7 separate regions of the Mus musculus genome follow, and all the other regions are reported to be linked to region 1. Evidence: microRNA targets listed by miRTarBase, many of them from high-throughput screens and not tested one by one. Region 1 holds a microRNA gene; each other region holds the end of a gene's coding sequence.

Region 1 (4,069 bases):
TGTTCAGAGAGAGCTACGTGCATGGTGCATGCAGGTAAAAGAGCTAGGCTGCCAGGTGCATTATCGTAAGAGAGGTGGAAACCAAAACCAGCTAGGGTCATAGGATCCTAAACTATTCCTTATGTTTTCCTGCCTCAAGTTTGCATTTTGTAGGTAACAGAACTAACCCCAATCCTGAGTGAGGCTTATATAGAATAGATTAAAGCTAGGTCCACAACCAAGCATTCTCCTCCTATCCCAGCCAGTCTGGGTCTGAGATGCCATTTCTTCCTGGAGTCTGCGGTCAGAGTGGTGCTTTGGGAAGCAGGCAGGTGCAAGGCATCTTTTCCCTTTTGGTTCTTGCTAATGAAGACTGTGCAGACCTTCGAAGTAGGTATAGTACAGGGCCCACCAACACTTCTGAGAAACAGACTACCATATTTAGAGCTTAGGACTCTTCCTTTTGGCATACGAAGAATACTTTTCCCCCCATGAGCCTGAGTTCCAGTCCCTGCAACAATGGTGTGAGTTTGAATTCACAGGGGAGCAGCCCTGCAATTGCTGATAGCCCATCTGACCTTGGGCACGACCTGAGCCTCAATTTCCCATCTAGAATGCAGTACCTATCAGAAATGAGATCATGAAGATAAAAATAGTAATGACAGGAGTTTTGAAGACAAATAAGGGCAGAACAGCTTTAGCCTGAAGTTAGGGGTCAGCCACATAGTGTGTCCAAGCTCTCTGTGGAGGTAGTGGCTCCTTTAAAAGCATGAACTGGCTACCAGAAGTTGCAGCCTGGGAAATCCTGGATGTTAACTTGGTCTGGAAAGGGGCAGGAAGCAGAGCAGGAGGATGAGTGATCAAAAGGCTGCAGGCTTGAGATTAGGCTGGGCTGATTTCAGATTGTTTCTGAGGAGTACCAGGGGCCAGCATTTTCTCTAGGATTCACTGTGAATAGGCTTGGTCTATCTCCTCACTGTGAACCTGGGTGAAGTCTTAAACCTCAGAGCTTCTTGAAGTCAGCTTCAGTTTTGCTTCCCACAAACCTTATTTTGCTAGAAATTATGAAACTTTTCCCTGGAAGAGATAGAACTCCTAAACTGTTTTTTGCATCTCCCCTGCAGTGGGGATGTTGGCTGTTGGTATGGCTTCCTCTGGGTGTGCCTTTTGGGCCAAGGTCACACTTCCTACCCAGGCTTTGTTTCCAGGCTCTGCTCATTCCATCTGCCCTGCCCCCTACTGGCCACACTGTAAACAGTGGCCCTCTGTGTTTGTCTACCCACCTCACTAAGAGAACCTGAGCTTTGTAACAGTCTCCATGCCAACAATACACAAGTCCCCTTCACACTTTGCTCCTGCTAGGCCTTCCCCACCTCTGACCCCTTCTCCCTCCTCACCTGCCTGACGTAATTCAGAATCCCCATAGTTCCTCGCTCTCCTCAGTGTGCCCCTGTTACTGTATTTTTTTTGCCTCTATCCTCACGGTAACACTTGGCACAGCACATTCGAGCACATGGATTCAGCCAGGTGTGGAAATTAAAGACCGGTCCCTAGAACCTCAAAAGCCAGCCTGATACCTGATGCCAGGTACACCCTGACAAGGCTTGGGGATGTGGCAGGCCTGGAGCTCATTTACAACCCAAAGTCCTTAACACAGTTCCAGCTGCCTTAGACCATGTTTGGGGAGGAAGGGATGTGTGCTGGGCCAAGTCCCAGGAGAACTCTATCTCATGGTCTCCTCCCAGCTCCCTCATCTTCAGCCCATAGATTTACCGTCCCTCTCCTGACTGTATGGACAAACCAACAAGTTCGCCTTGACTTCCCTTTCCAGATAAGGGCCAGGCATCCATCCAGCCTGGCTGCCAGTGCTGTTTACGTCAATGACCTGCACAGCCCTCCACAATGCACCTTGCCTTTGACTTACTTTATGACTTGGCGTAGTGCGCTCTCCTGCTTGTGATATTTCTTATGTACCACTCTGAATGTGGATTCACTCCAGATGCTCAGAGAACCTGGATCCTTCCCAGGACTCTTGGTTGGCTGGGTTCAGTTATTGAGTTTCTCTGGAGCAAGTTGCCTTCCATATCTGTATTTATCTACACCCTAAGAGACTGACATGCAAGTGTTTGTGGTGCATGCATGAGCGAGTGAGCGAGTGGGTTCACCATGTGTTCTTCCATTGTATTGTGCACCTTGCAAACATACCCCTCGCTTCCTGCTTCTGTACCCTCTCCTGAAGACCACGATGAAGCTCCTGAACCGCCAGCACCATTTGCCATCTGTGAAAATGGGCTCAAGGTGAGGGGTGCTATCTGTGATTGAGGGACATGGTCAATGGAATTGTCTCACACAGAAATCGCACCCGTCACCTTGGCCTGCTGAGCACCACCAGAACCAAGAAGCACAGCACCCCAAACCAAGCAGCAGCCCTGGTGAAGTCCCCGTGAATGTGGCCGTGATGTGTGTGAGCTGTGGAAGGAGCTGTGGATGCAGACCTGGGCAGTGTGTGGGGTTTCGATTCGGATTCTGTAACCGCCATGACCAGCAGAGTGAGAGATAAGAAAGCAGTTCAGTCCAACATGCCTAACTATTGGTTCAAACTTCAGGAGTCTGACCCCAAATAATTAAGTTTAGGCACATTTAAGCACAGCACAATTTGGTGCTTTCCTGGTGATAATTAACTCAGTCCTGTATATACAACAAAGCTTAAGATGTGACTACATCAAAACTCTTTGTAAAGTACGTGTGACATCTTCCATAAAGATGAGTTCTGTAGATTGACAAGCTCACAGTAAGAGTCTGGGGAGGATCCTGTGTGGTCTCGGCCACATAGATAGCACAGAGGTCACCAGGCTGTTAACCACGTTTGCTCCCAACCTTCTGGGCAGATAACAGGTTATGTGTCCCTCCCTTTGAAGGGACAACTCTGTGTGTTCAGCATTCCTGGTTCCCTAGTACTTATCTGTGAGCACAGAGACCTTCATACCTCCCACAAGATAGATCTGTTCTCCAGCTCTTTTGCAAAGTACTCACCCTTTCTAAATTTGTTTTTCCATCTGTGAAATGGGTTGTCACACCTACCTCACAGGGGTGTTCTGAGTGCAACACAAGACATTGTGCAAGTTCTTTATCAGTTGAAAAATCACTCCAGCAGCTTGAAATGCCTCTCCTTACAAAGCAGGAGTTCTCATCACCCACTCATGTGACAGTGCTAATAGGAGAGGAGGACATGGTCTCTGTGGGGAGTTTACATGAAGGTCTCTGGAAAGGCCTGAACTTTTTAGGGTGCCCTGCATGGGGACCCTTAATCTCAGAGCATCTCCTTTAAAGTAGTACTGGCTCATCTGCAGTTTACATCCCAGGAGAGAAAAGCTGCCTTCTCCTCCAGCACCAAGGTCACTTCCTCAACACTGATGGCAACATGCTACTGATGCTTCAGGCTTCCTGAAACCCCACAGACCCAATGATAGTATGAGACGGTGATCCAGAGCATAGCTATCTTACACGCCTGTCCTCCATACTCAGAGAACAGACGAGCGAGGTGAGCTACATATAGCCAACACAGGCAGCTCAAGAGGGACACAAACTAGAAGCAGGGGACCCTTCTGTGCCCTAGCTGCCTGCATCTGTTCTACACTCTGTTATAGTTAGTGAACATAGACCCAACACATCTATTTCTGCATGCCCCCATGCCAAGTCTTACTTTCCTTATCTTTGAAGTGGACACAAGGGCTGATGAGATGGCTTAGTTGAGGAAGGGAAGGTGCTTGCTGCTAAGTCTGGCAACCATAGTTCAGTCCCCAGGACCCACAGTGGTGAAAGGAAAGAACCAGCTCCTGAAAGCTGTGCTCTAGCTTCCATACACGCACACGTAAAGTAGACAAGAGGGAGGGAGGCTTTAAGGATCGAAGCGCTGTCATACACAATCTCTGGGGCTCCTGTCCCCTTTGACACTCACATTGGTAGTGTGATGCCGCTAGGACTATAAGAAGTGCCTTAGAGAAAGACAAGAGCCTCCCTTTCCACATTGCCATTGTACATCTCCTCCCTGCATCGTCATAGTATCTCCTGAATTCTCTAGAGAGGTTAG
Region 2 (4,069 bases), not on the chromosome of region 1:
CTGGGCCGGTCTGCATAATGCTGTATACATACCAGATTTGATGCTGCACATAGGGTATGGATTGCACATCCGTCTCATAGGATTTGTAAATGGTTTGAGTAAGAGGAAAGTAACTTTCGTTGCATTATAAAATGTCTTAACTGCATTGTTTGTAGCATCATAACTTTTTCTTTCTTTTTCTTTTTTCTTTGTTCTTTTGGGAGAAGCATCTTTTTATTTCTCACATTCCTGATTATTTTTGTCATTAATTTAAATTGAATTTTTTATATCTGTTTTTATATGTACTCTTTTTTTACCTCATGCTTTTGTTTGTTTTGCACATTTCTCATACCACAGGTATTGAAGCCCCTGGGTGATAATTTGATGGAGGAAAACATAAGGCAGTCTGTAACAAACTCTATCAAAGCAGGCCTGACTGACCAGGTGTCTCATCATGCCCGATTAAAGACAGACTGACAGTTCATCTGCTCATGGACTCCACTCTCCCTTGTTCATGCTTGCTGTACAATGAGAACTCAGATAAAATAAACCAAAGTTTACAATCAACTGTAGAAGTAGTTTAGTGTAACTGGCTTCACAGATGGCCGCCACAGAGTGTGAACGTTGTTTGTTGGTTTGCAGCCTTCTTTGCTGTCTCCTTAGACTCGGTGACTGCCTGAGGAGCATCAGGTTATCATGCACACTTGTGCCATGGTTAATTCTTTTCTTTCTTTTTACCGAATTCAATGTTAGTGAAATTTGTCTTATGTAAAAGGATATTTCAGGGAAATATTTTAAGAAATCTATTTAGAGTCTCTTTAATATAGTGTCCCATTGAAATTTTAATTTTTAGAGAATTTATGAATCACTGTATCAAGAATCAGATGGGAATGACAATGAAGCCTTTACCGAGCCACTACATTAAAAGTGTATATTGCTTTACTGCCTTCAATTGCCAGTATTACATAAATGCATGTTTCAGAAACTTCACACAAATCACATGAGAACTCTTGTAGCTGAGAAGGTAATTCTGAGGTGTACATTTGTCTTGCCTTTTTAAATTTGTAAACCTGCCCTGAAAGGAGATGCATTATCTGGGAAACTGAACTGTCTTTTTGCAGTTTAGCCTTCATGTACATAAAATATGCCATTAATTTTATTGGGGGAAAAATTCCATCCAAAAATGTTGCCTACAGCTATGAGTTAAGAGTGTCTACAGCGTGTAGCTTTCATTTTCTAAAGATTACAGGTAGGGCATGTATATGAATTATAAATATATAAATACAATTTTGTATTAAAAGTTTTGTAGTTTATGGCAAAACCTGGTTCTGTGGTAGGCTACTGAGTCCAGTCCTGTGACAGGAGTGTTTGTGGCTCGTGTCACTGTGTGAACGCATAGACAGTGTGAAGTTTTGATATATTTGTGATATTTATCTTCCCTGAGCACTGCAGTCTCACCCCCAAGAGAATTCAATGGGAATGTTTTATTGTGACTTGTCCTCTGTTGCATTTTAAAGTTATTTCCTGTAATTTATTTTCAGTACATAATTAAAAATTTGTTGTATATATAAAACGAAAGTTGTGATTCTTTTTTAAGGAATTCTTTCAAGTGTGTATCTCACCATATAACATTGTTCATGCTGAAAGAGGGTGGGTCAGGGTGCACCGAGTTAGAGCTCAAGGTATTGTACTTTAAAGCTGAGCGTGTAAAAAGTTATTTTTCGTGTCTTTTTATGTAAGGGATATTTTTTGTGATAATCTATCTGGGGATTTAATAATTTTAATCTTTTCTCCATCTCTTCCCCCACTCCCATCGTGTGTGTGTGTGTGTGTGTGTGTGTGTGTGTGAGAGAGAGAGAGAGAGAGAGAGAGAGAGAGAGAGAGAATGAATATGTGTGTGTTTGCGTGTGGGCTATATATGTAAAGCTACCATTTTTCCAGTACTTATAACCTCCTTTACAGAGACCTATTAAATCGCTCCTATTTGGTTTTTAAGAGAATTCAGATGTTGAGTTGCATGCATGAAGGTCTGAGTTTGCTTTGATTGGCACACTTCCCTCCCACTCTGACCCAGTCCTACTTTATATGGATTGTATTTGTTTCCGTCTGTGGTAAGCAGCTGCCTTCTCATCTGTTCCTACACAGAACGAATCCATCCGAACAGTCTCTCTTTCTCTGACCACTTTGTTTTATGAATGCTGTAAATTGTTTTTATGAATGAAAAATAAAAAGTTTGTTGTATACTAGCAAGTGTTCTGAAATTAAAAACTTACACAGTTTAAAACTCCCCCTCCTTTTTTTTTCTTTTTAAAAGTAAAGTCTAGACCACTGGGCGCTGTAGTGTTTCTTGCTAAAATGGTGGTTTTCCTCTAGAAGTATCTTCAGGACTCCAAGGAAGACTTTAGTTTCGTCTGGAAGGCCCTGGCCATTGTTAGGTAGAGGCAGAGCAACCAGAACAACAGAAGGGGCCAGGGACAAATACCAAAATAACACTGGAATGGGTGCATTTTCTGTGCTACAGTTTTGGGTAATGATACAAAATAGGTTTTTCCTTTCTTTTAGAGATGAAAGGTTTTTCTCAGTGACAGAATTTATCTTTTTAAGACACATCTTGCGAAAGGAACAACCTTTGGGGCTCTGATGGTGAGTCTCATCTTTCATGAGTATAGATTGCTAGTCATCTTTGCTTCTGTAAACAACTTATTTATAAAATTAAATTGTGTTATCTCACTCATGAGGTTTTTTGCTTTCTTTTTAATGATGTATTTGTGTATCTGAATGTGGGTATGTGCACCTGAGTGTAGATGCCCACAGAGTCCAGAAGAGGGCATCTGGTCCCTCTGAACTGGAGTGGTTGTGAGTTGCCCAGGATGGGTGCTGGGAAGAGAACTTGGATCCTCTGAAGAGCAGCAAGTGCTCCTAACTGCAGTGTATAGTTTCAAACACTGAGCAGGGGCTTATTTTGCTTGCGGAATTGAACCACGCAGGCTAGAGACTTCACTTCTGGCATGACTGCTTTTTTAAAAGTTTAATTTTAGTTAAGGACCTTTCAAGAAACACCTTTAAAGAGGGTGTTTGATCTTGGTTCCTGTACAAATACCTATAATGGGGCTCGGGAGATGACTTAGTGCTTGCTGTGTAAGCATTAGGGGTAGAGTCTGAATCCTCAGAACCTACCAAAAGCTGGAATCCCAGGGCTCCTATGGCAAGATGGGGAGCAGAGACAGGTGAAGGCCCGGAAGTTCAGGCCAGATAGCCTGGCAGATGCAATGGTATACAACAGTAGTATACAACCCCAAGGTAGAAGGCAAGAACCCATACTGAAGTTGTTGTCTGACTGCTCCACACCAGGGCCTGCATGTCAGCATTCACACATGGATGTTCTCTCTCTCTCTCTCTCTCTCTCTCTCTCTCTCTCTCTCTCTCTCTCTCTCTCTCTCTCTCTCTCTCTCTCTCGCTTTCTCTCTCCCTCTCCCTCCCTCCCTCCCCCTCCCCATGTGTCACTTTTCTCCCCATCTCCCAAGTGGCCTTTTAGATACAGATCTGGTTTTAGCCAGGTAAGTAAGAAGGCAATTTTGATTGGCTGCTTAGGGCAGTGTGCCTCTATCACACACTTAGACTTTGGCTTGAAAATTAACAGTCTGAGTCCTTTCCTGCTAACCCAAGTGAGTTTATATGTGCATATTGATTGTCCATTCCTGGGATGACGAAACTCATCTTGGGAAGAATTGGCAGCTGTGTTCTGCCAGCCATCTTTGTTTCCCCTTGGGAGTACCTTATACATCAAATTACTGTCTTGTTTGAATTCTGTCTTTAGCCTCTGTCCATATCAGATAACTTCCAGGGAGTTTTTCAAAAGTTAATTTGTAATCAAAGCCAAATTGGAGCCAAATCTGAATCAGGGCAGAATTACTGCCTTATTGACTTTACTCTGATACTGGGCCCTAGGAACTTCTTTGGATATATATATATATATATATATATTACTGGATTTAGGCAGAGAAACTGTCCTTAACATATTGCAACAAAATACCTATGTTCTTTCTGCAGAGTGACTTCAGGAGCTCCTCAAAGATCTAGATCAGAAGTC
Region 3 (4,069 bases), not on the chromosome of region 1:
AGGAGGGAACTTCACATATAAACAGGATCAAGCTTAGTTAAATGTCAAGAGTTCAGAGCCCTTAGTGTGGCTTGTCCCAAAAGATGAGAGCTGGGACTCCAGCCCAGGGGAGGTCAGGCGTTCGATTTCTTGGAGATTGATTAGACGAAAAGAAAAATCAGAGCAAGAAAGATCTATGGAGACTTTGAACATGAGAACTGCCAACAGAGCAATAGTTTCGAAGACATCCAGAAATAAGAGAAGGGCATAAAGACATATATCAGAAGGAGAGCTGGGCCCCACATGGCAGGTCCTGGGGTCAGGAGGCAGGCAGGAGAGGGCCCTGGGAAGACCAGCTTCTGTTGTGAAATCCGAGTCCTGGCAGCATGTCTCCATGCACCGAGAAGGAATTACTTTTTTAAATGCCTGTTTTCAACTTGGGTTTTGGCACAAGACTCGTATAATGCAACGAGTATCTGAAGCAGCTTTTGGAGAGGTAAAATTATGTGGCCCCTACTCCGACGTTTGGTAGAAATTGAGCTTTGCTTTTGCTGCTCCTACGTGCGGTATGAGCCCAGCCTAACCTAACAACTCTGGACCTGGGTCCACTTGGCTGTAAAACAGAGCAAAAGACACTCACCTCACAGGAGTCCTGTGAGAACTGACAAAAAGCAAGTGTTTGGTGACAATTATCTTCCTTTTCTACAACTGTATTATTTAAATTTTAAAAAAAAGTAATTGTCAGAAAAAGAGCAACATGGTGGATCAGAAGGGCAAGTGGAAGCTGAAAAGAGTATAGGCATTTTTAAAATTTGGAAACTTTTACCTACTGTATATCATTTCCTCTGGATAGTTAAAATCCCATGTGTTTTAAATCAGCTGACCAACAGAACTCCCTACCACAACGTTCTAGAATGTTCTACATCAATGCTACCCAATACAGCAATTTCTTGCTACAGATGATTGTCACACAGTTGAAATGACATCACATGAGACATTGAGAGGAGTAAGTGAATACAAGAGTTTAGTAGGTGTTGATTAATCGCCTTATAATAAGTAACCATCCAAATGTATTGAAACAGAAGTTCAACCCCCTGACTCATCACGTTGTGCCGTCGCAATGCCAGTGTCTAGTGTTACACCTGCCACATCTAGACTCTCATGAAATAAGTGTGGGGAGGAATAGGGGAAGAAGAGAAGGAAAGGAAAACAATGACAGAAGTAGACTATTTCCTTCCAAGGCTGAAATGAGTTGCTAAAACAAAAGTCTTTAAAATAAAATTTTCAATGTGGAGAACTTTGGGAGATGAAGTTAGATCCTGGTGTACTGAGATACATATTTATAAATGAGGCTGAAAGGAATTGACATCTCCGAGAGAACCAAAGAAACCAAAGAGGGTAGATGGAGAGGGAGGGCGCACTTCTAGATTCCACATCCCTGATATTGTAAACTCAGTCCTGCAGAGTGTGTTTAAGCCAGCGTCTTGGGTTTATATGTAACTCTTGTCCATGTCACAGTCTCATGTACCAGGGACCAGGAGTAGGATGGGTCCACAGTGCCCAGCTTAGCCACCTTTCTCATTCACTCTGCATTCCATCCTCAGCACCCCCCCCCCCCCCACACACACACAAAAGCAGTGTTGGGCACATTTTCATTAACTGTTTATTCATTATAAATAGTAAATATTTACTGCACTTTTTACATGAAAGACATTTTTACAACACATCATTGTTGGTTGAGGCTGCAACACAAAGATACTATGTCTCCTGTTCCATCACCCTGCCCAACGTATAAAATAACTCAGTTCTATGTCTAGTCCTGCTAACACACTACCTCATTGTTCTTAAATCTAAAGGGAATGTATTTGTGCCTACCTCATTCATGGTTCCAAGAATAGAAAGAAATAAATAACAGCACCGCCCACCTTCATCTTTCTCTTAACATTTCAAAACACAGATTTATTGACATCCTAAATGTCACCACATGAATGTATGTAAACCTGTTCCCTATATCCTTTAATATTGGGTATCGTTGTATAATTTAAAAGTACATGAGAGCCACGTGGACATTTCTGTTCTAGCCCTGCCTTTTGTAGAAAAGAGACGAATGTAAACACCATCTCTGTAGAGAGCTTGATTCTCAGACATGGTCTCTGAACAAAAGGAACAAGCAGGATGTGAGTTGTTTGGCAACGAGCAAACATCACTGCACTCTACTACGATGAGTTATGGGCTGCAAAAATAAAAACACCTGCAAAAATATAGTTCTGATTTCATTTCTATCACCTTGGCCATTGCCAAAGCATCTGTGAGGTACACAGTATTGCACGCTGAGAAGCAGATATGTGATGGGTGTCACTTCCTCTACATCATACCCTTCCCCCCCCCCCACCAACTGGCCTCCAAATCAATGTGACTTGGGAAGTAAATGACATCCATCTATCCCCACAGCAGATAACACACTTTTTTCTCATTATCCCACATCTTTTTACAAGACATGTCAGGGACATCGGTTGATAACTAGGTTACAAATGAAGGTATGGTAATAATTTACTGGGGAGATCCTTCACATCTAGTCTAGTGCCCTATACAATGGTGGTGTTGGTTTTCATATCGGTTTCCAGTGTGTCAAAATCAAGGATTTCTCCATTCCCAATTCACTACATAAGCAGTGTGAATGTCATAAACTTGGTCAGCCTTAGACATCAAACCTGTTAACTTTCAGGAATTCAACTACAATATATGGGAACATTCTGCTTACTCAAACCACCCCGTGAAAATCAATCTCTCTCTCTCTCTCTCTCTCTCTCTCTCTCTCTCACACACACACACACACACACACACACACGGAATGTTTTAGCTTCTTTGATCAGCAACAAAGATTTGGGGCCATTTTGATATGTAGCCAGTTACATCACTGTCTTAAAAATGGTGCATTTTAGAGCTCTGGGTCTTCCTTGTCTCCCCTGCCTTTTGTCCAATATGTTCAAAGAATCTGAAAGCAACTACTGGAGAAAGAAAATCAATCTCTTTTGTCTCCACCTCCCCCAAAAGCTGAATTTTTTTTCATTTATTTTTTGTTTGTTTTTAAATTTTTTTTATTGTTTTGTTTCTGAGAAGATTCTTCATGTCTAGTCTGTGGAGGCCGGAAACAGGGCTCCAAGTGGACAGTTCACTTATGCAATATCTGGCTTGAGATAATGAAAGGCACCTGTAAGGAAACACACGCAGCTTTTTAGGTCATGCTGGGACAATTCACAGTTAGGGGCAAGATCAGCTACAGGCTGACAATGTCATATTTAATACCACGGTATCAAAGGATCGAGACTAATATTTTTATTCCTGAGACAAGTTTGACACAACTCTGTGTCCTGGGCTTATCCCCATATGATCCTGGCGCTGACCTCATTAAGAACATGTGTTTCTAATGCTAGAGGTTATTTCATTTTGGCCAACCTCTGTGTTTTACCTACTGACAATCCGGTTTTCCGTCCCAGCAATTAATAACTGCAAGATGTTATTGACATCAGTTAAGCAAATAATTACACAAGGGAGCCTGTGCTGTAGCAATCAGCTGTCTTTGCCACAAAAAAATGATACTGGGATGAAAGGCTTAAACATGCCTCCAGTTCCCCGTTCTCAAGCAAGAGGTGATCTCTCTCCCTTCCAGGAGGAACTACCCCCTAGAACGTCCAAGGCTTACTTTGTCCATACTGCCCATACTGGTAGCCTGTGACAGGGTCCATACTGTAGCCTGCGGTGCTATAGGTGGGGGGACAATAGGGCTGAGATGTGGGCAGACTGTCCACATTCTTCATATGTTCCAGTCTCTGACTGCAGCTGGCTGACACCGTGGTCGTGGGTTCCAGGCCCCCAGTGAGAGGGGAGAGAGCATAGTCGGTCTGAGGCTGGTGCGGTACCCCACCGTGGTTGGTCAGAAGTCCCATTACCTGCAATGATGACGGGCAGAGCAGAAGTTAAAATGTGGGCAGAAACAGATGGCAGCCCCAAAAACAGCGCAAGATCTTGAAAGGCCAACTTTTATGTCTCTAGACAGCCATTGAGGAGCTTTTCTGAAGGCTTTGACCCC
Region 4 (4,069 bases), not on the chromosome of region 1:
TGTAGCTCGGTTCCTCTGACTGTGAAACAAGGTAAAAATAGCCTGAGCTCCTATTCTGTCATCAGATAAAAATATGGCGGTAGAGGGGAAAGCCCGCTGAACAGAGAGCAGAGGCACCATTCAATTCTCAGATGATTATTATCCTGACAAATCTCATGAATAGCAGCCACGTCAGAATGTCTCATTTTTGCCACCTGGGAAGCAGAGTGGTCTCTGTTTCAGGGCTGTTGGGGACAGAGAGCTAAGAAGCCTGTGAAAGCAGCCTGCTCCCTCCCAGCTGAGCTGGGTCACACTTTTGTGCTAATCCTCCTATGGTGGGCAGAATGGCTTAGAGGACAGGAGAGGGCTGGCTCCAACCTATCTACCCCTCACCAGGCATTGTGCGCTGCTAGAGGAAAACCTCCCCTAGCGAAGTCCTAGCCCAGCTCAGCCTGTGGCTATAACCCTTACAGGGACCATAAGGGAAAGGGGAGGGTCACAGACCGGTGCAATGAAACTTCCTTCCGTTCTGCTTCTCCTCACTAGACACACATGCAGACACACAGACACACACAGACACAAACACACAAACACAGAGACATACACACACATACACAAAGACATACACACACACACACACACACACATACACAAAACACACAGATGCACAGACACACATACACACAGAGACATACACAGACACAGACCTACACACACACACACACACACACATACACAAAACACACAGATGCACAGACACACATACACACACACAGAGACATACACAGACACAGACCTACACATACATACAGACACACACATATATCCATAACACACACACACAGAGGCACACAAGCATGCACAGACACACATATACACACAAACGCAGAGACACACGCACAGTCACACACACACTTGGGCCTGGATACATGGTTGCTCAGCTCTTGTCCACACACACTCACACGCCTATGCTCTACCTCTTTAGGTGACAGGTTTTTCAAAGGCTAGCTCTAGGGCTTTCTCCCTTGTCTCAGCAGACCTGTGATCTTGGTCTCCACCACCACCCACCCATACGCACCCTGGGCTTCTAGGGAGCAGGAGCAGGTTCCCCACCCTCTGCCTGAACACCAGGAGCCTGCTGCCACGAGGACTCTGTACTCTGAGCCTCCTGTCTTCCAGCGGTGACCTGGCTCGGACATCCACTCCCCAAGTCTGTGCTCCCTGCCTGTCCAGAGAGTTCTTCTGTCTTTCCCATCAGGCTCAAAGAGGTCCAGCCTGGGGTAGAATGGCTAGGAAGCTGCAGCTTGTCTAAGCTGGAAGACCCACAAGGAGCCCAGACTTCTGATCAGAAGGTAGGTGTGTCCAGCGAGGAGAGGACAACGTCTGTCTCATCGCTGGGCTGGTTTCACCCGAGTCCATGATGGGAGCAGAGCTGAGACTGACAGGCATGGTCTCCACTGCCACACTGACAATGGCTGGGAGGACAAGAATGCTCCAGGGACTCTTTCCTGACTCACGGATGCTTAGGCCTGATTTCATGATTGCTCAGCTTTGGTCTCTTCCATCAGATCTTCCCTCCCTGCCCACGGGCGAGGGAACTGGTTTGGTCATCCCTGGCAGTCAATCCATCCCGAGAGCTGTGTCAGACTCTACTCTGGGAGATGCAGCTTGTCCTCCGGGGCCACACACACAGGACTGGGACAGTCACTCTGGGAAAGGCAACACCTGCTGTCTTGTTTGTCACTTAACGACCAGATATCATACCCATATTACAGATGGACAAACGAAGGCCAAGAAAGACCATTGGTACACCTGGGTTCATTAGACCTGAGGTGTAAAGTCCTTGCCAACAGCTTGGATCTCTCCTGGGAGCCCGCTGACATGACGTCAGAGTGAAGTGTCTGGCAGTGTGGAGGCCAGGGGGGGAGGAGTGTGTCAAGTCTGAGCCTTGCCACTGCACCCGTAGGACAAGAACAGGGCTGCCCCAGCTGCCTCCGGCCCGCTGCTGTGAGCAGACCTCCTCAGACACCTGAGAGTCCTGCTGCCTGGAGTTTACACAGGGTCATCCTAGAGGCTGGGAGCTTTCAGATCAGATGCGTCTAGAGCTGCCAGGCTCCCAGCACGGAGAGTAGAGAGGGCAGCAGTCCTCTGTGGAGGTTCTAGGCCTGGATCTGTGTCCAGGCAGGGACTGAAGAGGCCGGGAAAAGAGGGCCTTAACCTCCACAGCCCATGTGGGATGGGGGGGGGGGGCGTTGGGGGGGCAGGACACTCATCGCCAAGGTGAAGAAATTGGTTAGGCCTCCCAGTCTTCTGTCTAGTCTCTTCTCTCACCCCCTTGAGGCCCCTGCTCAGCATCTGACACCTAACAGGATCAGGAGCTATCTGCTGGGAGGGGAAAATAGAGGATGTTAGCTGCAGCTGGACTCTCATAGTGTCTCTCTCCGTCTCTGTGTATGTGTGTGTGTGTATATATATATATATATATATATATATATATATATATATATATATATATATGGTTTTTTTTTTCTTTTGTTTTTTCAGAGAGCTGAGGGTCCCCCAAGTGCCTGGGACAACACTGGAGCCCATCTGAGCAACCGCTAGCCTCCCTGGAGCCCAGCCCGAGATAGATGGTGGGTGTCTGCTTTTCTGTACCCAGGGAGCAACCTCCTCCACCAGCTTTCCCAGCCACACACCCAGGCGGTAGAACACACACGTATCTTTGTTAATTTATGGAAACAATACAACTCCTCTGAGACCACCGCTCTAGGCAACAGCCCTGCCTACACCCAGCTGTTTATCTCAGATGTGTGGAGAGAAAAGCAGAACTCTCCACCCTCTCCCAGGCAAGGCCCCACCCAGGGCTCTCTCACACACACACACACACACACACACACACACACAAACTGTGCAGATGTGAGCTCACTGGCCCCAGTGAAAACAAGCACGAGGCCTGGCGACCACTGGATGGTACAGCTGCACGTACAGTCGTACAGACTTGCAAACATGCAGATGTACAGACGTGCAGATGCGCAGAAGGCCCGGTGGGAGGGCTCTCTACTGATCCAGAGTCCTGTACCTCCCAGCTCTCCTACCCACGGCATGGCCTCAATGTCCCCCCTTTCCTTGGCCGTGAACAAAGATCTCCATAGCTGACAGTCATCACAGGGACAACTGCCCCGACACTGCCCACTCCAGGGCCTTGAGTCCGCTCTGTGGAGAGCCCTGCCCAGCTGTGGCTGGCCTCTGGACCTCTTGGTTGCACAGGCTCTGGCTTCCTCGGAGAGAGTGCCTGCTCCAGCCAGTCCTTCCTCATGGTTCCAGCTCCCGGGAGAGGCGGGACAGTTCCCGCTGGTTGTCAATGACCTTCAGCTGCTGGACATAAGCCCAGGTGCTGGCTGGACTCCGGGTGCTCAGGGACTGCTCAGAACCTGGAGGAAGGGAGAGCCATCAGAGAAAGAGAGAGAGAGGTGCCATGGTCAGGTCACCACGCCTACCTCTCTCTCCGGGGAGCAGCCTCAGCTCTCTCCCCTCCCCTACCTCACATCCTCTCAATCCAAGTCCCCAGACTACTGTCTCTCCCACCACAGAGTCAGGAGGGCAGTGGATGCAAAGTCTGAAGAAAGAAGGTCCCTCCGCCCACCAAGATCTATCTCAGCATAGTACCCCTTCTCTGGGTCAAAAGGAACTAAAACAGACTGGATATGGTGGTGCGCGTTTATAATCCGGGAGCTTCCGAAGCTGAGGCAGGAGGATGGAGAGTTCCAAGCCCTGTTTCAAGAAACAAGAAATGGCCAGGCATGGTGGTGCGTGCCTTGACTCCAGCACCCAAGAGGTGGAGGCATGGGGATCTTTAGGAGTTTGGAGCTAGCCTGGGCTACATAATGAGTTCCAGGCCAGCAAAGCCAAAAAGTAAAGCAAACAAAAGCTGGAGGGATAGCTCAGGGCATGAACTGCTTGTCCTAATAACTTGTCTGTAATTCCCATGCTGAAACAGTCAGATCGCTGGGGCCAGTCTGACAGCCCAGGACACTTGTTAAGTTCCTGGCCAGTGAGAGCTTGTCTCACAAAGAAGAGAGAGCGGCTGCCC
Region 5 (4,069 bases), not on the chromosome of region 1:
TTATAAAATATACCCAAATCTTCTTACATAACTATTTCATTTTCCTAATCATTGGAGTGCAACTTACTAGTCTAATAAACAATATATGTAAAAAAATTTATGTTTACCTAAAAATTATTTTAAAAATGAAAAACAGCTCAAATATTTTATACTGTATTGTTCTACTATAAATAAATTTATAATATGATGCTTGAAAAACCTATCTAAGTAAGGTCTAGAGTAACTTTAGCCATTCTGAGTTATTTTAAACTAACCGGCCCCTCGTCTCTAAATGGCTTACTAACATGGAATCACAGACCCCTTTAGGGATTACTCCTTAAGGGAAAATGGAAGGGAACAGAGAAACAGTGTGTCCCAGATGTGATGAACTGTGGAACATAAGCAGAGATGTGACTACGAGTCAGCCGTCAGCATCAGCGTGTCAGGATGGGCACAGTGACACACAGCAGTGCTGCCAACAGACCTGCAGGGACCACTGTCAGACAGCTCACATCCCTCAGTATAAACCGCATCCACAAGATCACAGGATGTCCCTACGTGTCAAAATCCAAACTCACTTTTTAAAATGAAAAAAATGGAAAATACTGTTTCTTATTTCAATTCAACATGTATTTCTCAAAATAAGATCCGCTGTGAACATGACTTGACGTTAAACTTTTCATCACTGTTAGTCACCAGGTAAGAAATCCAGTAGACAACAGAACACCCCTCTGTGTGTACAGCAGCAGCGGAAGCTGGCGCAGGAAATCGCATGGGTTTAGTTACCAGTACGATGCTGGCATGAAGAAAATCCTAAGCCAAAAATGTAATGAACTTGTAGGTAATCTTGCCTACCTCACAAGAGTCCCAGCATTTGATGTGTAGGGCTCACTGTCAAGCACCTATCAAGGTCTAATGCAATGGGAAAGCTGTTGGATTGTATTGCTGAGGGTTTTACACTAACTCTTTTATACTATATTTAGCATGTGATAAAACAGTACAAAGATTGGTTTTAATAAAAGTCAAATAAGTATCTGTATTAAAGCTACAAGTATAATTTGTGCCTCAACTGCTAATACAGTATTTAAAATTATACAAACAAACATCCAGTAAACATTATTTTATTTTATGACACTCTGCATTAATACAATAAATATACAAAACTTCCAAACCACTGAAAACATGCAACATGAGAGGGCCACATGGAGGGCGTTTACACAGAACCGTGACATACCACAGGGGCAGCGCAGTAGTACACGCACCTACACAATACACAAACATCCCTAGAGCAATGAACCGAGCCCCAAATCACAAATCACCAAGCAATCGTTTCCAGTGATCAGACCCGAGTTTTAAATAAAACAGTCACCATTTAACATCGCCAACTAAGACGTGACATGGATGCCTGTCCTCGTGCAGCTCGTCTCATGGCTGCAGTAACATTGGGATTGAATAGAAGACGTCAACAGGCTTTCACCAAATCACAGTGCACTGCTGACAGACTGCTGCTGAGAGGACAGCAGGTAAGGGCTTCGAGCCGCTCCCACCTGACCCAGCCACAGACACCACCATGGCTGTAAAGCTCCTTTGTGTTTTCAAACAACATAATCTCTTTCAAACGTGTATGAATCCAAACAATTGGATTGAAAACAGCATTTTCCTTGTTCATACGCAAAAACATAATGTGAGTTATAACTATTCTTTTCCATTTAATAATACCACCTCTGGGGACCTCCACATAATGGACAGGGAACATTCCCAATTTTGAAAATAAAAAACTATTAGCATTTTGTGAATCTCTGATGTGTCTCTTATTTGTACATCAGAGAAGAATAAGCCTGGATTTAGAATATAAGTACTGGTGTTTCTGTGAACTCTTACACCCTTAGTGACCTCAGTGTCCATCAAACCACACTGGATGAAGCACAGTCGCTCAGCAGCCACACATGAGCAGGTGAGAACGAAGGGGAATCCTACTCATGGGGACTCAAAACACAACTCCAAAGTCATACTCTGAATTCTACCTTTTCCTCAATCAAAGAAACATTTTTGGACTATTGTACTTAGTAAATTCCCAAGCAAATCTAGCATGGCCCTGCATGGGCAGATGTATAATCCAATACCACAGACCTCAAGGAACTGCACCCCAGCTCTGCACAGAGTCCCCGACTGCAGCCTTGGGGACAGGGTACAGTGGCTCAGCCACTCACTTCAGCTCATTTTTAAAGGATATCCTGTCTTTGACAGCCCATCTTTGTTTAAAGTCAACTTGGGTAAGTTGCAGCCTATCTATCATTTTGCAATCTAAACTAGTGAGACTTCCAAACTACAACAGTCTGCCTTACAAATGTTCTTGAGACAGCTAATCAGCATTAAAAATGATTAAAAGTCTCAACCCACATCAGTTTGTGCTGCACCATAACAATGTAAATTGGATGTTACCAATAATGAATATATTACTTGAGCTTTCTCTCCATTGCTTGGTGCAATGTTTCACATGGATTTAGTCTGTCTTAAAAGTAAAAGACAGGTACATTAAGAAATCAAGCATATTAGAATCACAAGGGTCTTTTATTTTTAATGTAACTAAAAGTGAGAGGCTAAAAGAAAAATCCCTTAAATACTGTGTGTTCTTTTTATTCAAGGGTTAGGCTAGCCTTAATACCTGTGTCAAAATCAATCTCTCTCTCTCTCTCTCTCTCACACACACACACAAAAACAAACACACACACACACACACACACACACAGCTGCCAAACACAAATCCTAGTTCAATTAAAAAGATAAGACAGAAGAATATATCAAAGTTTTCATACAGTAAAACTTTACTATATGAATACTAAAAATTAAGAGGGAAAAGAAATTATCACTATATTCTATTGCATCAATTCACTACCCTCTCTTTGGATAATGCACTGCACATTATATTAAAGTCTTTATACTCCAGTAAATTTTTACTTAAAAGAAACTATTACAGAAAATCATTTCTGATTCTATAAAGAGCCCCAGATCCTACAACTATAAGCAGTACAGAACCCAAAATACTAATTCATTTCACTTAAGAGACGTGGTGCCCATGCAAGATCAGAGATTGTTATCAAAATAATCAACTAGTCTAAAAATAAAATAAAGGAAGGTAAAATATACATTATCTACTACAGAGCACACAGGCTCTTCTCTGGTGACTGAACCTCATATAAAGCAAGCCAATTTAAAAACACCCAAACTTTTGCTGACCTTGTTCCTTCGTTATTAATAGAGGGGGGAAAAGAAAGAAACATGGTGTCATGTCCAATGTATAGTCTGAATCTCTACTGACTCCTGGAAGAACTTCTGTGGTTACTATCGAGCGCTTTTTAAATCTTAAGTCACATACTCATTTCAGTGTGTCACCACTGAAATAATCTGAGGAACACCATCCCCCAAAAATATGGAGAATATTTATTTAGCAGGTGATAGTTTTCTTCTGTGCAGAGCATGGAAATATTAAGAAACTATTAGGCAAAGTAATAAGACAAGGAAGTTTCTCTGGTTTTTAGACCATGCACATGTGGATTGGAAATACCCATGCTTTTGTGTATTGTGTGTTTCCAACAAAAAATATCTGTAGAATACAGTAACTGGAGAAAAAGATACAGTCCTAAGGAAACAGAGAACTGCTTCCAGGCTCGCTACATCTGGTTACCCTTGAAGGCGTTCTGCGCCGCGCTGGTTGCTGCGGTTGAGGCGGCGTTTGCAGCCGCTGTCTGAACAGTTTTATTGGACATCACTCCCGTTGCAAACTCTTGCTGGGCCTTCTCAAAACTAGCACCTGTTGTGCGGTACAGTCCATGCACCTGAGGAGGCAGAACCAAGGCGAGATGGTGAGATGCGATCCACACATTTGCTCAAACCACCCTGCCGTGTGCGAGGACCAGGCAGAGGTCAGAGGGGAGGTGGGGGGAACAGAAAAGAAAACCCATGAAATCAGCTTTTTACCCTAGGTCCAAAATAAACACAGGAGATGGCCATAGTGGGATTAACGGCGACACAGCGCCTTCAAAGACAGTAGCTGCCCTGTTCGGTCGAAGCAGACCAGGTTAGTCTATGC
Region 6 (4,069 bases), not on the chromosome of region 1:
TGTGATTCTTCGTCTCTCTGGACTGTTGGATATGCAAAGGGAACGAAGGCATCTCGTACCAATGAATGAATGCTCAGGTACAGGTGTCTCCAACCCTTGGTTAAAGGACACCATGAAAAGAGTGAAACCCTTGATGGGATATGTCAGTGTCTACTGCTCTGCCTAAGATGCTTCTGAGGTTCTTTGACAAAGGCCTTAGGAGAGCTGCAGGTAGGCTTTGGCCAGGAGAAGCTGTTGGTACCAAACAGGCAGAGGCAATATGACTGCTCTATCAGAGAGGGCATTGTGCCCAACCATAAGGCTAATGTTGGCTGCCCTCACAGCTAGTTGCATGCTAAGGGAAATGAAACAGAATCCTACTTTCACCTCCTACATGAATATTTAGGGAATTCATTTCCTATTGTACAATGGGGTGGAGGCCTTCCACATATGGAACATCGACAAGAGTTTGCTAGTAGTAATTCTCAGCTTAAAGTGCATTTATATTTTATGTGCTAATATAAGTCATGATTTCTTTGTGTGGTATCTTTCCGTGGTATATGTATGTGTGTACATGTTTTGTATAGATTCATGCATGCCACAGTGCATGTGTGAAGTTCAGAGGACATCCAGGGCTATAGGCGGTCCATCTTGAGACAGGTCTCTTGTTCACCAGTCTACACTAGATGAGCTGATCTGTTTGGTTTCCCTGGTCTCTGCCTTCCATCAATTGGGAGCTTTGGACTTATGAAGTGCTACTGTGCTAAGTGTAAACTGCTGGGGTTCAGACTCTGGTCCTCATGACTGCATAGCAAGCATTCTACCCACTGAGCCATCTCCCCAGCCCATAAGGTGAGAACTCTAAATTTCCCTTTAAGTGAATCAAGGTCCAAGATAAGCATTTGGCTGTGGATGCAGGGCTTTATTTAGGTCATGGGGCTTTCTGACCTGCCTGTCTCATTTCTGGCTCCAGCCTTCAACAAGAGTCTTCCAAGGAGAGAATGGAGCATAATGTGACCAGGTAACAAAAATTTCAAGGGAAGAATATGTTCTTAGACTTTAAGAACATATTTAATAAATACGGCATGACTAGCATAAAAGCATGACGCAGTGCAAACCTGTTAACATCAAAAGGCAGGATGTAATGACTTGGATATTTTATTTTGACTTTACATGCGGTGTTAAAAACCCAAAGTACATATTATTTACACATCCACAATACAAGTTTACAAGATATCTATACACGTTAAAGTACTCTATAAAACAGTATAGAGCCACTTCACTTTAGGGTTATTTTTTTATGCCGTACCATTAAAAAAGATACAATCTGTGTTTACCTTTGCACAAATGGATAAAGCATTTAAAATTAAATTAACAGAATAGAGACTAGAATCCATGTTAGAAATTTCAACATAAATACTGATAGAACTCACAGTACAAACTCTAAGGCAGCACAATGTTACAAAATGTTATCGGGGTCACACAGAGTTACCACGCTGGGATTAATATTGGTAAGGTAAATGCAAACAACATTGTTGGTGGCAGATGTGTAGTGCTTATTGTTGGTTGGTTTAATTGATTATTAAACTGTAATATTTTTAGTTGCAAAGCTGAAGGGTTTCAGCTTTGGAGCTTCCAGAAGATCACAGGGAATCATTTTTCTATAGAAAAGAATGTTCTTGAAGGAAAAGATCAACCGCATCAGTACTCTACATCCTGTATAAAAATGATCTGGTGTCTTGTACCCCATCCTCCCCCAAGTAATGCAGACCATGGTCACTGTCCCAAGATATCACTTGAACTCCGCCTGACTGGCTCAGGAGCCTTCCTTAGCTGTGGACATTTCTAGAGTAAGTTGGGTAAATGACTGGGTGATGTGCAGTGGGTTAACCAAAGCTGTCAGTAGGCTACACACCTGCAGCCATCAGTGGGCTCTGCCAAGCTACATAGAAACGACTCTAGACATGGTTTCCGCAGGTGCCACATAACCTGGGAACCCTCATCTGACTTCACATTATCAGAACAGCAGGGGATGGAATGTTTATCATGGCAAGGGTGGGTGCTGCTTCTGATCCTGGAGGGAAGGGGCGGCGTTGCTCAACAACAAATCGCTCTAGGTGGCTTTATGACTGTATAAGAAGTCCTCAGGTGCTGGCTGCAAAACATTTACAAGTGGCACATGGGAAATGATGCTCTGTAGTGGAAACACTCAACATACCGCGGAACTTCTACCACTCGAGTGAATAAGGCACAAAATGCACAGATCCAGGTAAACTCACATGTGGTATTTACAGTTCACTGTCACTGCCTGCATGACTCATGAGCAAAATCCTCACAGGACACACATGGAGGAAGGATCATCGAGAGCTCTACAGATCCTCCCTGCTAAGCCAACTGTAATTCCTGTTCTGTCTGTCTGTCTGTCTGTCTCTTTCTTTTGTCCTACTTTTGGTTTCTCTTTTGCCTTGGGAGTTGGGGGTGAGAGGAGTTAAGAGAGGACATTTTTTACTGTATGGAAAATAAAATAACACAATCAAAATAAAAGCCTGTAAGTGTGTCTAAGGTTGAGTAGCGTGCCCCAGGCTTTGATTCACAGTGGACAGGTAAATGTTACTATTGAATACTGGTAGATACATCAAAGATACCTCTTAATTTCTCTAAGTTCTTAAGCTGGCAAGGCTGGAATAGACGTTCTGATGGATAGCAGCACAAAATTATTTAGAACGCTTAAATGTTCTGACACCGGGTACCATATGTTAATCACTTGACAGTCAAAGAAGCCTTGTCTATTCCTGATCAGAGCCGAACACGATGGACCGGTGTAGGAGGATGTTAGTGCTTGTTCAGTCATGCTTACTGTAAACAACTCCATAGTACAAAAGATGCAATGGGCACCTAAATCAATTCTAATGGGTAGATCTCTCTCTCTCTCTCTCTCTCTCTCTCTCTCTCTCTCTCTCACACACACACACACACACACACACACACACACACACACACTCGCCCCTCTCTTAACATAGTTTGTTGGTGGCATTGAAAAACAAAACAAAACAAAAAAATAAAACAAAACAGTGCCACACTCAGAAAATAAAAATTGCTACAGTTTGGGTCAAAGATTGAATTTTCAGCAAACTGCTTGGTAATCTCCAAGCTCATTTTGTTTTGAGACATTCCCATCTTTCCATTTTGACATTTGTGCAAGAGGCAAGGTGAATGCATACATATTAAAATGTTCACATTTAATGGGAAGACCACACAGAATGGCAGTCTACATTGAACCCATTTTCAAGTATTTGTTCAGTCTTCTGAGTACTGTATCAGCTCTTTACACTGGTGAAGGGAGCCTTCCCTGGCTACACATCCCTTCTGCTTCAAACGAAAGAAATGGAGTGAGCAGGACCTCCCTTCGTTTCCGGCAAGTACACAGAAGCCTTGCTGTAGTAGCTACATGTGGCAAGTTCTGGTGTTACCAAAGTGACAGAGTTTCTTTGGCTACTTGTTTCTCTTAAAATACAAGCAGGTATCTCATCTGAAGGTACCCTCACAGCTTCCTCGCAACAGCAGGGACAGGATAAAGCCACACGGGAATAGCATACTTGAGGCCTAGTACGTGTACTTGTTCAGTGGTCTGACAGATGTGGTTTGCGGAACAAAGGAAGGCTTTGGTGGCACATCAGGTTTTAAGGATGGTGTCCTCTTTAGTCCCGTCCTGGGGAGGGTGCCATTACTGGTATAGCTGCTCTGTCTGGAGAGGGAGGGCTGCAGATGAACACTCACCGGTGTCCCCTGAATATAGTCCACCTTCGCCCCTGTTGGGGTGGGCATATAGCCTCCACGGTTCATACTCGGCTGTCTAGATAACAAAACACCATTTGGTGAGTTTAAGTTTTTAGGCACGGCAGATATAGAGTGCCTCTGGGAGGAATTTTTGTGATAACCCCTTTGTCTTTCCAGAGAAGTCATTGGCACCCCAGGAGTGGTGGGGACATCTACTCTCTTGGTTGGACTATTTCTGGGGAGTGTGGAGGGAGGGGAGTATAGAGATGCCTCCCGGTTAGGGACCTTGGGTGGGACCTCAGCCATTGGTCCC
Region 7 (4,069 bases), not on the chromosome of region 1:
CATGAGGATGAGAGAGAAGGAAGAAATGACTGATCTGCCAGAGCCTGACAGGGTCCTGAGAGGAGTCGGTATCCTTACCCAGCCAGACTCAGTCTGCTTTTATTAGAACTAATGTCTCCTCTTGCTTTGCCCCTGTCCACCCATTTGCAGAGTTTGGTGTGTACTGCAGTCACTGTCGGAGCGAGGTCCGTGGCACCCAGTGCGCCATCTGCAAAGGCTTCACCTTCCAGTGTGCCATCTGCCATGTGGCCGTGCGGGGTTCATCCAACTTCTGCCTGACCTGTGGGCATGGTGGCCACACGAGCCACATGATGGAGTGGTTTCGGACCCAGGAGGTATGTCCCACGGGGTGTGGCTGCCACTGCCTGCTGGAGAGCACCTTCTGAACTTAAAGGACAGTGGCACTTCCGGAAATCCCAGAGGACTCCATAAGTGCTGGAGAAGGCTCTCTGCTGCTGCTGGTGGAAAGTCCTAGAACCAGGGCCATCCTCGTGATTTAGGATGGAGAGTATCCTCTCACAGACTGTCACAGCATCCGCTCGTGATCCTGTGTGTTCCCTTCTCCTTGGCTGCCGGGCACGGATGGTGCTGGAAGAAGGGAGGGGGACGCACAGAGCTGACCCTCCTGTACTGTCTGTTGAGTCCACAGTGGATGTTTTCATGAGGAAAAGCACCTGTTTCCAGAGCCATCAGAGCTAGCATCAGCCTTCAAGATTCTGTCCTTGAACCAGGAATGGACCCTCCAGATGCCAGTACAAAGGCACACAGCAGCTGCAAAACAGACTCCTGAGCCAGAAGACGCTGGCTCTTAGTGCCATCCACAAGTGAGCTATGGTATCTGTGACTTAGAAGTTGGCACCTTGATGATGGCCTTATAAAATACAATACTAAAGTGTAATATATGATGGACATATATTCAGCATTCTTTTTCTTGGTACAGGGCTGGAACTCAGCGCCTTGCACATACTGGTGAGCAGCCATACCACTGAGTTACATTCCAGCCCCATAAGAAACTTAAGATGTATATGTTTTCTGTTTCTCTTCATCTGCTTTCCTTTAACTAATAGAAGTTTGTACTTGTGTGTGTGTGTGTGTGTGTGTGTGTGTGTGTGTGTGTGTGTGTGTGAGTGAGTGAGTGAGTGAGAGAGAGAGAGAGAGAGAGAGAGAGAGGGAGAGAGAGAGGATGAATAAGGAAAGTGACCGTCTTAGTGACTCATTTTGCATTGTACTTCTGGTTGAAGGGAACTGTTTTGGACCGGACTAGAATTAGTCTCATGACTTGTAAAGGAAATGCCATTTGACTTTGATCATCTGACAGAGGAAACGGAATCTGACATTAAGGTTCTCTCTAGCCGCAAGAGTCTCATAATTATTTCTTCTAGCACAGGGGAAATGAGATTGCATTTCAGCACTGATACCAGAGTCTCTCTCTGCCTCTGGGCAGGCTGGCTGGGCTCCAGGGGTACTTTTTACTTGAACTCCCTTGCAAACTCATCATGATTTTCAGGGGTTTCACTTGTCTATACCAGGGAAGAGAGTTTAAAAAAAAAAACAAGACCCACTATACTGAAATCTCTCTCTCTTAGAAATTTAAATTCCTTGGGCCTGTCATAAGGCTCAGTGGGCAGAGGTGCCTGCCACTAAGCTTACTAACCTCAGTTTTCTCCCTCGCATGAGCCACCATAGAAGAACTGACTCCTAAGAGTTGTCCTCTGACTTCCACATGTGTGCTTTGATATGTGAATGTACACACACACATACAAAAAATGTAATTTAACAATTTTATGATTCCAAACTAATTAACCGGAGACACATAAGTAATTTGTGTCATTGGATTATGGTTGCACGTGTTTGTAGTCCCTTCACTCACGGGGCTGAGGTAAGAGGGTTTCAAGTTTGAGACCATCCTGGGCTACACAGTGAGGTGATGGCCAGCCTCACTTATATATGAAGACACTTACAAGCAAACGTCATAAAGAAGATCTGGAGAGATCGCTTAGTAATCAAATGCTTGGCTAGCATACAGGAGGTGATGTGTTTGATCCTCAGCAACACACACACTGACACTCAAACTAAAACAAAACAAAATACTACATGTTCCATAATAGGTAAGTGTTGTATATCACTTTGTTTGAAACTATGATTTAAGACTCATGAATGGATTAGGAAATCAGTCTCGTAGATAAAAACCAACACTTTCTATTTTCAAGGATTACTTTGTGTGTGTAAATCTCTGTGTCTTCAAGTGTATGTTGTGTGGGACAGAAGAGGCCATCTGGTTCCTTGGTGCTAGGATTATCAGTCTTTTCAGGACACCTTGTGTCATGTGTGTTCAGGGATCCTAACTTGGATCTTCATGATTGCAAAGTCAGAACTGTTTTGTCTCCAGCCCCCAAACTGTCATATAAAGAAAGTAAAATAATGTGGGTGAGAGACAATCGTGTACTAACACAGTCTGATGTCCTTTGTTTACTAGTGCGTGCGCACACACACACACACACACACACACACACACACACACGTACTTATATCTCATGGTGGCAGGTGGGCCTCACCTCTCCCCTGTATTACTAATTGGTCATGAGACTCCGTGGCATAAGCTTGATCTTGAACTATGTGCCAGGTTTGGTACCAGTGCCTCAGCAGCACGTGTAGTCCGGTGTGCTGGGATGGGGGAGGAAGGGCCGCAGGTATCTGAGTGTATTACACTGTACTCCTCCAGCCTCGTTTGTGTCGACACTGCCGTGATGCTGGTCCCACAACAGGCGGACTGATGTGCACAGACACAGATCTGTTGGGTCCTCTGTGAGTTCACACCATTTACAGAGAGCGGTCTCTTCCTCTACCCCACCGTGAAGCTAATGGAAGCCCTGTCCCTGTTTAGAATGACATAGTTTTCTTGTGTGGATTATTTCTGTAAGAACATTGTCTTCCAAAACAAAAAAACCTTCTTAGTGACTATGAAGTCATTTCAAGTTTAACATGTTTCATAGGGGGCTGGAGAGATGGTTCAGTGATTAAGAGCACTGGCCGCTCTTCCAGATGCAAGTCCCAGTAACCATAAGCCAGGCCACAGACGTTTGTAACTCCCATTCCGGGGATCAGATGCCTTTCTCTGGCCTCTGTCAGCACCAGACATGCACATGCTATGTAGACATGCTGGCAAAACACTCTTTATGCATAAAATAAAAACAAGACACTATGTAACATCTCTCAATAGGTCAGTTCTGTTTGCATTTCCAAGTTACCAGGACAAAAACTTAGTATTTGTGAGAAATATCCCTGTTTGGAAACACAGTGGTCTGGATGCTGGTGGGGTCAGCAGCCTCTCTACCATAGCTAAGTCCTCTTGGTTTGGTTTACTGTGCTCGTCTGAGGTAGGGCACCGTTGTGTTTCCCAGCTGACCTTGAACTTGAGACCTCTGACTGCCAGAGTGCTGGGATTCCACCACACCTGGGCTTTATTTGCTCTTTAAAATATTATAACCTGTGTCCTAAACACCTTTGAATTTGCCAGGGAGAACACTAGGCATGGGCATGGTGGCACACGCCTCTAATCCGCATTTGGGAGGCAGAGGCAGGAGGATCTCTGAGTTTGAGGCCAGCCTGGTCTACAAAGCGAGTTCCAGGACAGCCAGGGCTGTTCTTACACAAAGAAGAAACCTATCCTGAAAAACCAAATCCAACCAAACAAACAAAAACTTTTTGCCATGGGAAAGCAGTGCTAGCTGTCCAGGGTACCAGGGGCTCTTTAGCCCCCTGCCAAGCAGAATGGGCCATGCGTTCTAGGTGACCACCAGCTTGCATTTGTCCTCCCACCTCAAGCTGCTCAGACCACAGGACTTAACACTTTCCTCATGGACACTATGGAGAGTCCATTATGCTTAATTTTAATAAGTTTTTCTACTCTATAGATGCATACAATCTGCATTTGCTGATCCACAGTGGGCATGGCAGCCCTTCCCAGTGCTGCTTTGAAGGGCTAGTAGAATCGAGGGGAGGGATCTAGGGTTTTTGTTTTGTTTTGGGGATTTAATGCAGCAGGAGCTAAGGAGACAACAGCCTTTCA

Evidence for each region. The annotated mature microRNA mmu-miR-342-3p reads UCUCACACAGAAAUCGCACCCGU and lies in region 1 at 2,323-2,345, shown strand. An mRNA with a match to its seed (bases 2 to 7 or 8) in the 3' UTR can be bound and repressed. Matches are read on the target gene's strand: a 7mer-m8 pairs with bases 2 to 8, a 7mer-A1 pairs with bases 2 to 7 and ends in A, and an 8mer does both.
Region 2: the mRNA of Atl2 is a reported target of mmu-miR-342-3p. Seed matches in the 3' UTR shown: 8mer at 1,823-1,830.
Region 3: miRTarBase lists Pax3 as a target of mmu-miR-342-3p. Seed matches in the 3' UTR shown: 8mer at 2,796-2,803.
Region 4: miRTarBase lists Rapgef3 as a target of mmu-miR-342-3p. Seed matches in the 3' UTR shown: 8mer at 2,847-2,854.
Region 5: the mRNA of Scamp1 is a reported target of mmu-miR-342-3p. Seed matches in the 3' UTR shown: 8mer at 2,678-2,685.
Region 6: the mRNA of Sema6d is a reported target of mmu-miR-342-3p. Seed matches in the 3' UTR shown: 8mer at 2,936-2,943.
Region 7: the mRNA of Wdr59 is a reported target of mmu-miR-342-3p. Seed matches in the 3' UTR shown: 7mer-m8 at 1,122-1,128.

What each region holds. Positions count from the first base shown.
Region 1 is chr12:108,656,358-108,660,426 of GRCm38, forward strand. It overlaps Mir342 (microRNA 342), which reads left to right and starts at 2,263; the gene lies at 2,263-2,361. All of the region lies in intron 3 of Evl (Ena-vasodilator stimulated phosphoprotein), which reads left to right.
Region 2 is chr17:79,846,546-79,850,614 of GRCm38, reverse strand. Atl2 (atlastin GTPase 2) reads left to right here. Exons shown (of 13, transcript NM_019717.3): 13 at 337-2,225. The coding sequence ends at 456. Among named protein-coding and RNA genes, the nearest start is that of Atl2, 48 kb to the left of the region's middle.
Region 3 is chr1:78,099,646-78,103,714 of GRCm38, forward strand. It overlaps Pax3 (paired box 3), which reads right to left. Exons shown (of 8, transcript NM_008781.4): 8 at 1,622-3,929. The coding sequence ends at 3,663. Among named protein-coding and RNA genes, the nearest start is that of Pax3, 95 kb to the right of the region's middle.
Region 4 is chr15:97,742,257-97,746,325 of GRCm38, forward strand. It overlaps Rapgef3 (Rap guanine nucleotide exchange factor (GEF) 3), which reads right to left. Exons shown (of 28, transcript NM_001177810.1): 28 at 2,514-3,410. The coding sequence ends at 3,292. Gm33531 (predicted gene, 33531) reads left to right here. Exons shown (of 4, transcript NR_168677.1): 2 at 1,238-1,331; 3 at 2,524-2,612; 4 at 3,570-4,069. Among named protein-coding and RNA genes, the nearest start is that of Gm33531, 3.3 kb to the left of the region's middle.
Region 5 is chr13:94,200,349-94,204,417 of GRCm38, forward strand. Scamp1 (secretory carrier membrane protein 1) reads right to left here. Exons shown (of 9, transcript NM_029153.1): 9 at 1,085-3,815. The coding sequence ends at 3,651. Among named protein-coding and RNA genes, the nearest start is that of Scamp1, 83 kb to the right of the region's middle.
Region 6 is chr2:124,664,823-124,668,891 of GRCm38, reverse strand. It overlaps Sema6d (sema domain, transmembrane domain (TM), and cytoplasmic domain, (semaphorin) 6D), which reads right to left. Exons shown (of 18, transcript NM_199241.3): 18 at 1,103-4,069. The coding sequence ends at 3,583. Among named protein-coding and RNA genes, the nearest start is that of Sema6d, 13 kb to the right of the region's middle.
Region 7 is chr8:111,447,161-111,451,229 of GRCm38, reverse strand. Wdr59 (WD repeat domain 59) reads left to right here. Exons shown (of 26, transcript NM_001170742.1): 26 at 151-2,446. The coding sequence ends at 386. Among named protein-coding and RNA genes, the nearest start is that of Gm24793, 30 kb to the right of the region's middle.